Schizosaccharomyces pombe: one gene and its partner. The protein of the gene in region 2 interacts with the protein of the main gene of each other region in a biochemical or structural test. Each region holds a gene or a part of one and is shown on either strand. Other genes may lie near its edges.

Region 1 (5,597 bases), on a different chromosome or scaffold from region 2:
CAGAGAGGAGGCACGTATTTTTATTACGCATCATCCCATTGGAAGAGAAGGTGTTCTTTCTCAATTAGCTACTGCTTGCCAGGCTGACCTGACTTTATCCGCCGGTCTTCATTTTCGTTATGGAGCTAGCTACAATGAGTTTTGCGTAAATCATAGTCCTGAACATTATCTTCAAAAACTTTCGGCTGCCCGTGCACAGTTTATGGAAGTGTATGACACTGTTAAGGCTGAGGTTGAGAAGATGGTTACCCCTGAACAACATCATCTAATAAACAATGTTGTTCGCCTAGTCTCTCGCATGCCCGATGCAACTAACTCATATGCTATGAATAACATGCTTCCCGGCACTGCTTTTAAAAACCTATGGAACTTCAATTTATTAGATGCTTCCTTTGGATGGACTGTTTTTGTCGTCGAAAATGGGCATGTTCAAGTGGAAAGCAAATCTCATGGCTTTAATTTAGGCTATCGTCGCATGGCTTCACGTCGTAACGAAAATTATGCATCTCACATTCCACGCTCAACTTCGGAAAATACCGGTACCTATTATTACGCTAACAATAGGTTGGTGGAATCTCAAGCACAGTTTACCAAGAACAGAGAAGCTACGGCTACACCAACCGAAGAAGAACAGATTGAAGGGTACGATCAGGAACATACTGATGAGCTAGGAATGTCAAGAGCGAATACTACAGAAGAGTCGGCTGAGACTCATGAAGTAATCGAAGAGAAGTCGGGACCACCTGCTGCCGAGGAAGAACCCATTTCTGGCGTAGCAGAGAAGCCTAGTCCTAATGAAGAAGAACAACCAGCAATTGGAGGGAAAGAGGAAGTTGACGTTGAAGAGGTGACTAAGGGTACTGGAAATCTCGAGCTAGGTGAGACGACTACAGAGGTTACCATACTTGAACAAGAGAATGCTGCAAATGTTACAAGATCTCAAGCACAAGAAGGTAGAAGAACTGATATGCAGAAGGGCAACGATCGTGAATTCCGTCAATATAGTGGTGAGCAGCGTTATGAACGTTGTGGATTTCATATTACCCCTTGCAATTCTGAAGAGGAAGCCCGTTCTTACTTTAAGGACGGGACAGACAGCCTGATTACGAATATTCAAATTCGTACTTCACTCAATCGTTACAAAAGTCCCCAAGCTCCTCAAAACGTAAACCCCACTAACTATGCATATGTATTTGTTGAAAACCAGAATGCTGTTTCAAAGGCCCTTGGAAGCATCAAAGTTCCAGAAGGTGTGCGGGTGAATATCATGCGTGATGATTCGTACTATCGTCAAAATAGAGGATGGTATCGAAATAACCGGATGGAGGGACATGGAACTGGAATGCGTACCAATCGTGGACGTGGACGAGGCGGCCGAATGAACAGAATGCAGCATCCTCGTCCATTACAAAGCGGTGGAAGTGTCAATAAACAAAGCGCTGAACCTACTACCCATGGTTAATGATGAATATTTTTTGCACTGTTTTCAATGCTGTTTTAGAACTGATTTTTATACCATCTTTTCACCTTTTTACTGATGTTAATGCAAAAGTTTACCTCATGAATGATGAAGTTTTCATGAAATTTATCTGACGCACTCATTTACCTCAATAACTGCGAAGCCAAAATAACTGATATGACTCTTTTAAGATATCTTTTTCGAATTCGGTTGTCATTGACAAAAGGGTGCTTACTTTACTTTCTTTCATATCGACTTTGTTTAGAAATAATAAAGTGATTTTTGACAAGATTGATTCGCAGAAAACTATATAGTAAAAATAATTAATTACTTTATGCTAGAATAGCAGTTATTAGCCTTTTCTTCTTAGAAAAGATGTAAGTTTTAATAGATCAAATTCATTAATTAAATAACCAAGTTGAAATTTAAAACACTCACAAACAATAAGCTAGCTACTCAACTAAACAATTTTTTTTTGTTTTTGCAACACAAGGTCCCAACCCTTACCGTATGTTATTGCGGGATGGCCGTATTCCACAGTACAGTATTTACCCATTGCCAGTTCCGCCGATGAATTCTAAAACGCCCACTCTAGGAATAGTTTGTTCAGAGGGGACCATTTCCTTGTCTTTGGAAGAGGGTTTTGAGTTTGTTGGAGTTCCGTTAAGTGGTGAAGGTTTAAAGCTACGAGTTGAAGCTCTAGCTCCGTCAGAGCGTTTGCAGGAATTCCTCGACGATGAAGTAGCTTATCACCCTGAGGGTATGTTTCAAATTTGAAAGAAAATTTATATTAACCAATTTTACTATAGAAAATGTGCACAAGGTGGTCGGTTTATCCTCAGCTTGGCTGGAGTTAGATTCTGAAGACACACTAATCGCTGATCGATCAGAAGAAGTGTTATTAAAGGAAGCATCATATGCTTCTTATTGTGGGTTATCTTCAATCATCCTAAATGGTCCAACTTCACCAATGAACGTTATGCGTTATGCGAGAGCTGTATCTTCTGCTTTAAACTCAACAATGAATCTAAAATTCTTGGTACAATTGGCAATCGAAAGTGGTCATGAAGACTATTTTGAGACATGGAAAATGTGGGACACAATTCGCTCAGCATGTGGTTATCACCCTAGATTGAAGGTGGCCTTAGAGCTACCTCCCGCTTGTTCACCCCCAATCGAGCTAGTAAATCGATGGTACGCGGAACCGATAGAGATGATTACTATGTCATGTATGGCTTTCGTTCCTAATCCCAACGGCTATCCAGTACTTGGTCGTAAGTTGAGGGCTATTTATGCTTTATATCTACGTCTCAATCCTCGAATTTTACTTTGGGATAATGACGCACCCGAGAAAATAGGTGATTCCCCCGACTACAGCATATATATGAAGCACCTCTTTGATTCACAGCCTCCAGCTCCACTTGTAGAAGATCTCGCGGATTCTTATAAAGACTATCTGCAAGTTCCTCTTCAACCATTGAGCTACAATTTGGAAAACATTACTTATGAAATATTTGAGCGAGATCCCGTTAAGTACGCCCAGTATGAGCAAGCAATTTTTTCTGCGTTGATGGATAGAGACGAATCTTCTGTCACGCGAATTGCCGTTGTGGGTGCGGGAAGAGGTCCATTAGTCGACTGTGCTTTACGTGCGGCAATTTCTTCATCTAGAACGGTTGATATGATCGCCCTTGAGAAAAATCCTAACGCTTTTTCCATGCTATTGATGAGAAACCGCCAGGATTGGGCTGGCAAAGTTACTCTAGTATTTGGAGATATGAGAACATGGAATCCTGATTATAAAATTGACATCCTTGTTAGTGAACTTTTGGGTAGTATGGGAGACAATGAACTTAGTCCGGAGTGTCTAGATGGTGTACAACATGTGCTTGATGAAGAAACTGGGATATGCATTCCATCTTCTTACATCTCCTATGTTACTCCTATTATGTCTCCTAAGCTATGGTCTGAAGCTCGTAATATGAATGACCCAAATGCTTTTGAAAGACAGTACGTGGTTTTAATGAACTCATTTGACTTTTTGGCTGCAGATGATGAGTTCCGTTTTCAGTCCCTTTGGTCCTTCCATCACCCAAACAAAGATAGTGAGGTTTATACTAAAAACTTGCATAACAAACGTTTTGCTAGTGTTCGTTTTCAGGCCTCTAGTCCTGGAATCCTTCACGGTTTTGCAGGATATTTTGAAGCTACATTATATAAGGATATTTCTCTTTCAATTATGCCAGCAACTATGGAAGCGAAGTCTCCTGACATGTTTTCATGGTTCCCTATTTATATGCCCATTAAGGTAAGTTACTATATTTTACGTTGCACTGTATACTAATATTTCCTAGAAACCCATGTACGTCCCAGAAAACAGCCAATTGGAATTTCACATGTGGCGATTGACGGACGGTATGCGGGTTTGGTTTGAGTGGTGTGCCAATGCCTATCTGGTGTTGCGGAATGGAAGTCAAATCAAGTTGTCTTCTACGGAGGTCCACAACATTTCCGGAAAAGCGTTCTCGTGTAATATGTATTAAAAATTAATAGTCCTTCTTTTACATTATTGTTTATGGTTTAAAACGGGTCTTCAAACCATTTTTTTGGAGTTTTGATTATAAAAATTTTTTGGATTTAGTTAAATCTGAATTTAACAAAAGTCGATTAGTTTTAGGATAGCTGTTACAATCAAGATTTTGCTGAGAAAGAAGGAGTAATGCTCCTATACTTATTGTCTTAAACGATTTGCCAGAATTTTAACTATTGTTCTTAAACATTCCTTTTTACACAATTAATTAACAGGCAAATTCATTCAACTGAAATACCCTGTCATTTGCTTACTATACTAGTTAATTAATTTTCATTAATGTATTATATTAGTCCGAACTTGAAAATTAACAACGCATTGCGTTATGCCACTCAATTTTATATAACGAATGTTAAGATAGATGGTTTGTTGGAAAATTCTTTAACTGCTTGTAGTACGGAGTATGCACTGTGTTCTTCGCCATTTACAGAATTGTGGGAAGGGTTTATATAAGGGCGATTTTCGACTATGGAACCAGCTCAGAAGAAACTAAGGCAAGAGTCAAAGAACCCGTATTTGGCACACTTAAACAATGGTGATGATTCTGAGGAAGTTGTTTCTTCGAAAGGGTTGACGCGACGTGCTACGACTGTTGCACAAGCAGCTAAGGCTGAAGAAGGACCAAACAATTTTTTTAATGATAAACCTTTTAGTCAAAATTATTTTAAGATTTTGGAAACTCGAAGAGAGCTTCCTGTATACCAGCAAAGAGAAGAATTTCTCAAAATTTATCACGAGAATCAAATTATTGTTTTCGTTGGTGAAACTGGTTCTGGTAAAACAACACAAATTCCTCAGTTTGTTCTTTATGATGAATTGCCTCATTTAACAAATACACAAATTGCATGTACTCAACCACGTCGTGTTGCAGCTATGTCCGTTGCAAAACGTGTCGCTGACGAAATGGACGTTGACTTGGGCGAGGAAGTTGGTTACAACATTCGTTTTGAAGACTGTAGTGGACCTAACACTCTGTTAAAATATATGACAGATGGTATGCTTTTGCGTGAAGCCATGACAGACCATATGCTCTCTCGTTATTCTTGTATTATTCTTGATGAAGCACATGAGCGTACCTTGGCAACTGATATTTTGATGGGTCTAATGAAGCGTTTGGCTACACGTAGACCCGACCTTAAGATTATTGTCATGTCTGCAACTTTGGATGCTAAAAAGTTTCAAAAATACTTTTTTGATGCTCCCCTTTTAGCTGTTCCAGGTAGAACTTACCCTGTTGAAATTTATTATACCCAAGAACCTGAGCGCGATTATTTAGAAGCCGCGCTTCGTACAGTGCTTCAAATTCATGTTGAAGAGGGCCCCGGTGATATCTTAGTGTTCCTTACAGGTGAAGAAGAGATTGAAGATGCTTGCCGTAAGATTACTTTGGAAGCTGATGATCTTGTACGTGAAGGAGCCGCTGGTCCATTGAAGGTGTATCCACTTTATGGTTCTTTACCGCCAAATCAACAGCAACGTATATTCGAACCAACTCCGGAAGATACAAAATCGGGTTACGGCCGTAAAGTAGTTATATCTACAAACATC
Region 2 (5,649 bases):
AATAAATGTTTTTGCTTTTACGATATGACTATAATTTATTCATGAGAAATACGAAGTGTGTAATAATCCAAATTCTCTATGGAATATACAAAGCACACTTTAAAATTAGTATCTTTGTATTTCTTAACCGAAGATACCCAGTTGCTCATTTTTTAGTCTTTTGTTTACAAGCATAATTCTTGCACTACGTGAAAAGTGAAAAGTAAGGCTACTATATATAGTAACGGAAAAACAAAAACTGAAAATATAACACTAACTGTTCTTGAGGTTGCAAAATATTTTTAGTTAACTGCAGAAGTACTCTCACTTTCCATGATTTCGTATCTTTCAGAAATCTTAGTTATGCTTAATGTAAAGTAACAATGCTTGATTTTGTTACTTGAAGGGTGTTAAATAAATCACGAACTTGCATTATTCATACATTAGAAAAAACAACCAAAATACTACAAAAAGTAGTCTTTTTGAGCTAGCCATTCTAAGAATAAGAATTCGCTTGATTTAAATCTCCCAATTGCCTCTACTCAAAGTTGTATAAGTATTGTTTAGCATGTCTCTTGAAGAGAATGTAAAGGAAGCGAAAAACGCTTTTAACATTTTACAGACATTATCAGTGGAAGACCGTGATGATGCATTGGATAAAATAGTTGAAGAACTGCGCATAAAAAAGTCAGAGGTTCTAGCTGCAAATGCTGAAGATATGAAAGCAGCTAAGCTCTTGGCTGAATCAGGAAAACTAAGTTCATCGATGGTTAAAAGATTGGATCTGTCTTCATCTGATAAATACGATTCCATGGTACAGGGTGTTTTAGATGTTAAAAGTTTGCCTGATCCCCTTGGTCGTGTTACTTATGCTCGTAGTCTTGACGATGGTTTGGACCTTTATAAAGTCTCTTGCCCTGTAGGTTTATTGCTAGTCATTTTTGAAGCTAGACCTGAAGTAATCATTAATATTACTTCCCTGGCTATCAAATCTGGTAATGCTGTTGTACTTAAAGGAGGCACGGAATCAGCAAAGTCTTTCGCTGCACTTTCTAATGTTGTTCGCTCTGCCTTGGGCAAAAGTAAGGTTCCACAGGCTGCTGTGCAGCTTGTTCAGAGTCGCGAGGAGGTATCACAATTATTAAAATTGGATGAGTACATAGATTTGGTTATTCCCCGCGGCAGCACTAATCTTGTACGCCATATAAAAGATAACACAAAAATTCCTGTTTTAGGTCATGCTGCAGGACTATGCTCCATGTACGTCCATGAGGATGCTGATATGGAATTGGCTAGTAAACTTGTTCTGGATGGAAAAACTGATTATCCAGCAGCATGTAATGCAATTGAAACTTTGTTAATTAACGAAGCTGTTTTATCTTCTCATCTTCCTAAAATTGCTGAAACTTTAACTGAAGCAAAAGTTACATTAAAATGTGATCCCGCTTCTCTTAAGGTTTTAAAGGATATGCCAAAAGTTAGTGCTCTAGTTGAACCATCTGTCGATCAAGATTACAACACTGAATTCTCTGATTTGATTCTTGCTATTAAGACTGTACCTTCCTTACAGTCCGCAATGCAGCATATAAATACACATGGTTCTAAACACACGGATTGCATTATCACTTCTAGTGAAGCAGCTGCTAACAGATTCATGGCTGGAATTGATGCTTCTGGTGTGTATTGGAATGCTTCAACCAGATTTGCCGATGGTTTTCGTTATGGTTACGGTACCGAAGTTGGCATCAGCACCAACAAAATTCATGCTCGAGGACCAATGGGTCTTGATGGGTTAACTATTTACAAGTACCAACTTAGAGGAAATGGTCAAGTTGCAAGTAGTTATGGAGTTGGACCTGGCAAACGCGCATTTAAACATACCCCTATTAATATAGACAATATTTCTCAGGTTTCGAAAAAATAAACACAAAAAAGATTTGAAAATTATGTGAAATTGTCAACGTTTTGGCTAGCTGCATTTTGGATACAAATCGGTTAGGCTTTTTTTGTTTACTTGTTTGTCTATAATATTTAAATGGGAGTTTCAATAATGTGAAGTTATTAAATGAAGAGTAAACACCAAATTAAATAGATAACTATTCCTGTAGAGTTCGATCCACCACCTTTAGTTTTTATTACACAAATATTTTTATGGTGAAGAACGAATTGATGTCTCCGTCCGTCTTTTTTGACTATTCATTTCAATTCAGATTCTAAAATCTTCGTAAGCTAAGATTCTTGGCTTCAGTTAGTAGCGTCGTAATATTGAACAGGGAGGGTTAGGAAATGCGCGGAGCTTATCGCAAGCGATCGTTGAAGTTATATAACAAACTGCAGAAGTACTTGCTTTTCCAGTATCGCAGTTTAACATATTTTTATCGGATTATACCTTAGCTGGCAGTAGTCCTATAATTAAAAAAGCATAATAGGACTTGTCATTTACCATATCCGATTTATCACTGTCTCATTTCTGTTTTGCATGTCTTGTTAATTCATGTTTTAAGCGATTGAATTTCAATCTTTTAACAATTTCTTTTTGTTAATTAATTCGTTGACCTTGTAGTTGATTCTAATTAGTGTAAAAATTCCATTTATTGCAACATTTCTTTCAATATGGATAAGAATGATTACTTACACTTTGAACGGAACCCTTCATTATTTCCGAAATCAACTTTAGACAAAGTCCAAAAGACAAAGAAATATATTGAACATTATTACAAGGTGGCAGTTGATCATGCTGTAGAGCGCAACCAAAGGTACGAGTAGCATTACTATTCAGGGTTCTAGCATTGTTTCACATTCCTCAATTAGTATTCCCATCTTATACGTTGATCGGATAAGTATCAAAGACGATGCTTTTATTAATTCTTTCTCCGTTCTCAACTTCGCGTGTTGCAGTAAATGCATAATCTCGAATGTTTATAAAATCTTAGACAGCTTACTCATCTTGTTTCGAAAATGTTAATTAATAATGCTAGCTTCCGTTTAATTTACTTTTAGGTATAAATACTAATTCTCTTTAGACGTATCAATTTGGAGCAACGATTAGCAACCGAAAGGGGTTCTGAGGAGAGAAAGAATAGGCAGTTAAGAGCATCTGGTGAAAAAGAGTCTCAATTTCTTCGATTTCGTCGTACACGGCTTTCTTTAGAAGATTTTTCTACCATCAAAGTTATTGGGAAAGGTGCATTTGGCGAGGTACGTTTGCATAATTGTTTATGTTTTTGGTATCTAATTAAATAGGTTCGGTTGGTTCAGAAACTCGATACGGGTAAAATCTATGCCATGAAATCTTTGCTTAAAACTGAAATGTTCAAACGTGACCAGCTGGCTCATGTCAAAGCAGAACGCGACTTATTAGTTGAATCTGACTCCCCATGGGTGGTGTCATTGTATTATGCTTTTCAAGATTCACTGTATCTTTACTTGATTATGGAGTTTTTACCAGGCGGTGATTTGATGACCATGCTAATAAATTATGATACTTTTTCAGAAGACGTTACTCGCTTCTACATGGCTGAGTGCGTTTTGGCTATAGCTGATGTTCATCGAATGGGTTATATTCATCGGGATATAAAACCGGATAACATACTGATTGACCGGGATGGCCATATAAAACTTTCTGATTTCGGACTTTCCACTGGTTTTTACAAGCAAGATCAGAGTGCCTCTTACATGAAACCTCGCACAGGAAATACTGTCAAACGTGGTCAAATGGTAGATGCTATCTGGCTTACAATGTCTTCCAAGGACAAAATGGCTACTTGGAAAAAGAACCGTAGGGTGATGGCCTATAGCACTGTGGGTACTCCTGATTATATCGCTCCAGAAATTTTCTTGCAACAAGGGTATGGTCAAGATTGTGATTGGTGGAGTTTAGGCGCTATCATGTTCGAGTGCTTAATTGGATGGCCTCCCTTTTGCAGTGAAAACTCTCATGAAACTTATCGAAAAATCATCAATTGGCGTGAGACTCTGACTTTCCCAAATGATATACATTTAAGCATAGAAGCTCGTGATTTGATGGACCGACTTATGACAGATTCAGAACACAGATTAGGTCGTGGCGGTGCTATTGAAATAATGCAACATCCTTTCTTTACTGGAATCGATTGGGATCATATACGAGAAACTGCAGCTCCATTTATTCCGAATTTGAAATCTATTACCGATACACATTATTTCCCTGTTGATGAGCTTGAACAAGTTCCTGAACAACCTGTCACACAACAACCTGCTTCTGTTGACCCTCAGACGTTGGAACAAACCAATCTGGCATTCCTTGGGTACACTTACAAAAAATTCAATTATTTAACGATGAAAGGAGCATTGTAAGACTTCTGCAAGAAACTCCATAGCTACTTTGTTCATTGTCCTTTGAGCATCTAACTATTGTTATCGAATTTTTTTTATCGTTAATTCATGTTTACCTTCTTTTACATTATTTTAGCATAACTAATAATATTACCAATTACTTTTTTTTAATGTTGTCCCTACTGATAAAATCTTACATGCACTTCTGTAAATATTAAATTCGTTGCATAAGAATTCCAAATTAATGCATAGATTTTATTAGGGAAAAGATAAAAAAGAGTGAGTAAAAAACATGTATTAATAAGTACAACAGGATGTTAACGCCAAGAAAACCAACCAAAATAGTAAACAATAATTATGAAATGCGGATCATGACCCATAACTAATAGACAATTTCTAATTGAACAGTGGGAACCCCAGAATTTTAACATTTTACCAGTAAACTGACTATCGTCTAAAGAAAGTTTCATATACTAGAATTGGATTAATGAATTAAATGCCTAATCTCGGCTTTTTAAATATTGTTCAATTTCATCGACAGATGGTGCATTGGCTTGTAAAAACTCACCGCTCTCTTGCTCAAACCGAGAGCGGACAAAGGCATCGTTTTCCATTTCCACAAATATGTCGGTGTCCGTAGGACGTAAAGTCCTTCGTAACATTTGGGCAACAATATCAATTGTTAAAGCACAAACCATTACAAAAAGCATAGTAAGCCACCATGAAGGATTTTTGCCAAAATGATGGAGAAACTGTGATCTAGCAAGATATAAATTCTTGTCCGGATAATGCTCGCTTATAAAGATATTAAATAAAAACCAAGCCAAGGACGTTAAAACAAGTACTATTATAGAAATGATGTTTATGTATTGCATCTCTATAAAGACCAATTTGAAATTCATGATAAAAATAGCAGCAGTAAAAATGAGTTGACCATAAGCGAAGATATTGTTGTCATTAAGTTCCTTCATTCCAAATAAACTATACGTAACATAGAAAACTAAGAAAGCTTGAATGAAGGCTATTGAACACCACCCAAAATACACTCGCCAATTGAATGCTTCATTGTTGATTCCCTTTTGATAAAGCTCCGGGACAGCGATTACGGTACTAGCACTTAAGTCTTTTTCAAAAATACCCAGCCCAATAACACATAACGAAGAAAATAGTGTATTAAAGCAAGTAAGTCCCCAGCTTTCGTAAAGGCTCTGCCCTGTGTAGCCAACAAAAGGTTGCATGATAGCTTGCATCAAAAAGAAAAACTGTTCTTTATAGAAGGTACCGAGAATATACTTTGATAATCTAACATAGCTCCATCGGCCATGACAGAATAATAACTTAATTAGGAATTTAAAT

The links. The genes of interacting proteins can lie anywhere in the genome.
Region 1: the proteins of orb6 (region 2) and skb1 form a complex in vitro, tested with the Schizosaccharomyces pombe proteins (one study listed by BioGRID).

What each region holds. Positions count from the first base shown.
Region 1 is NC_003423.3:2,275,246-2,280,842, forward strand, and holds skb1 (protein arginine N-methyltransferase Skb1), read left to right. Parts: upstream 1-2,009; 5' UTR 2,010-2,029; coding exon 2,030-2,219; exon of another isoform or gene 2,220-2,268; coding exon 2,269-3,767; exon of another isoform or gene 3,768-3,813; coding exon 3,814-4,002; 3' UTR 4,003-4,379; downstream 4,380-5,597. Other genes in the region: SPOM_SPBC16H5.12C (uncharacterized protein), read left to right, coding at 1-1,462; ATP-dependent RNA helicase Prp43, read left to right, coding at 4,518-5,597. UniProt on the Schizosaccharomyces pombe protein: S-adenosyl-L-methionine-dependent protein-arginine N-methyltransferase that can catalyze both the mono- and symmetric (type II) dimethylation of the guanidino nitrogens of arginine residues in target proteins.
Region 2 is NC_003424.3:1,005,847-1,011,495, forward strand, and holds orb6 (serine/threonine protein kinase Orb6), read left to right. Parts: upstream 1-2,416; 5' UTR 2,417-2,592; coding exon 2,593-2,735; intron 2,736-3,002; coding exon 3,003-3,177; intron 3,178-3,222; coding exon 3,223-4,314; 3' UTR 4,315-4,472; downstream 4,473-5,649. Other genes in the region: gamma-glutamyl phosphate reductase Pro1, read left to right, coding at 548-1,903; dnf1 (P-type ATPase), read right to left, coding at 4,794-5,649. UniProt on the Schizosaccharomyces pombe protein: Interacts with pak1/shk1 and coordinates cell morphogenesis with the cell cycle. It is essential for maintenance of cell polarity and is involved in mitotic control.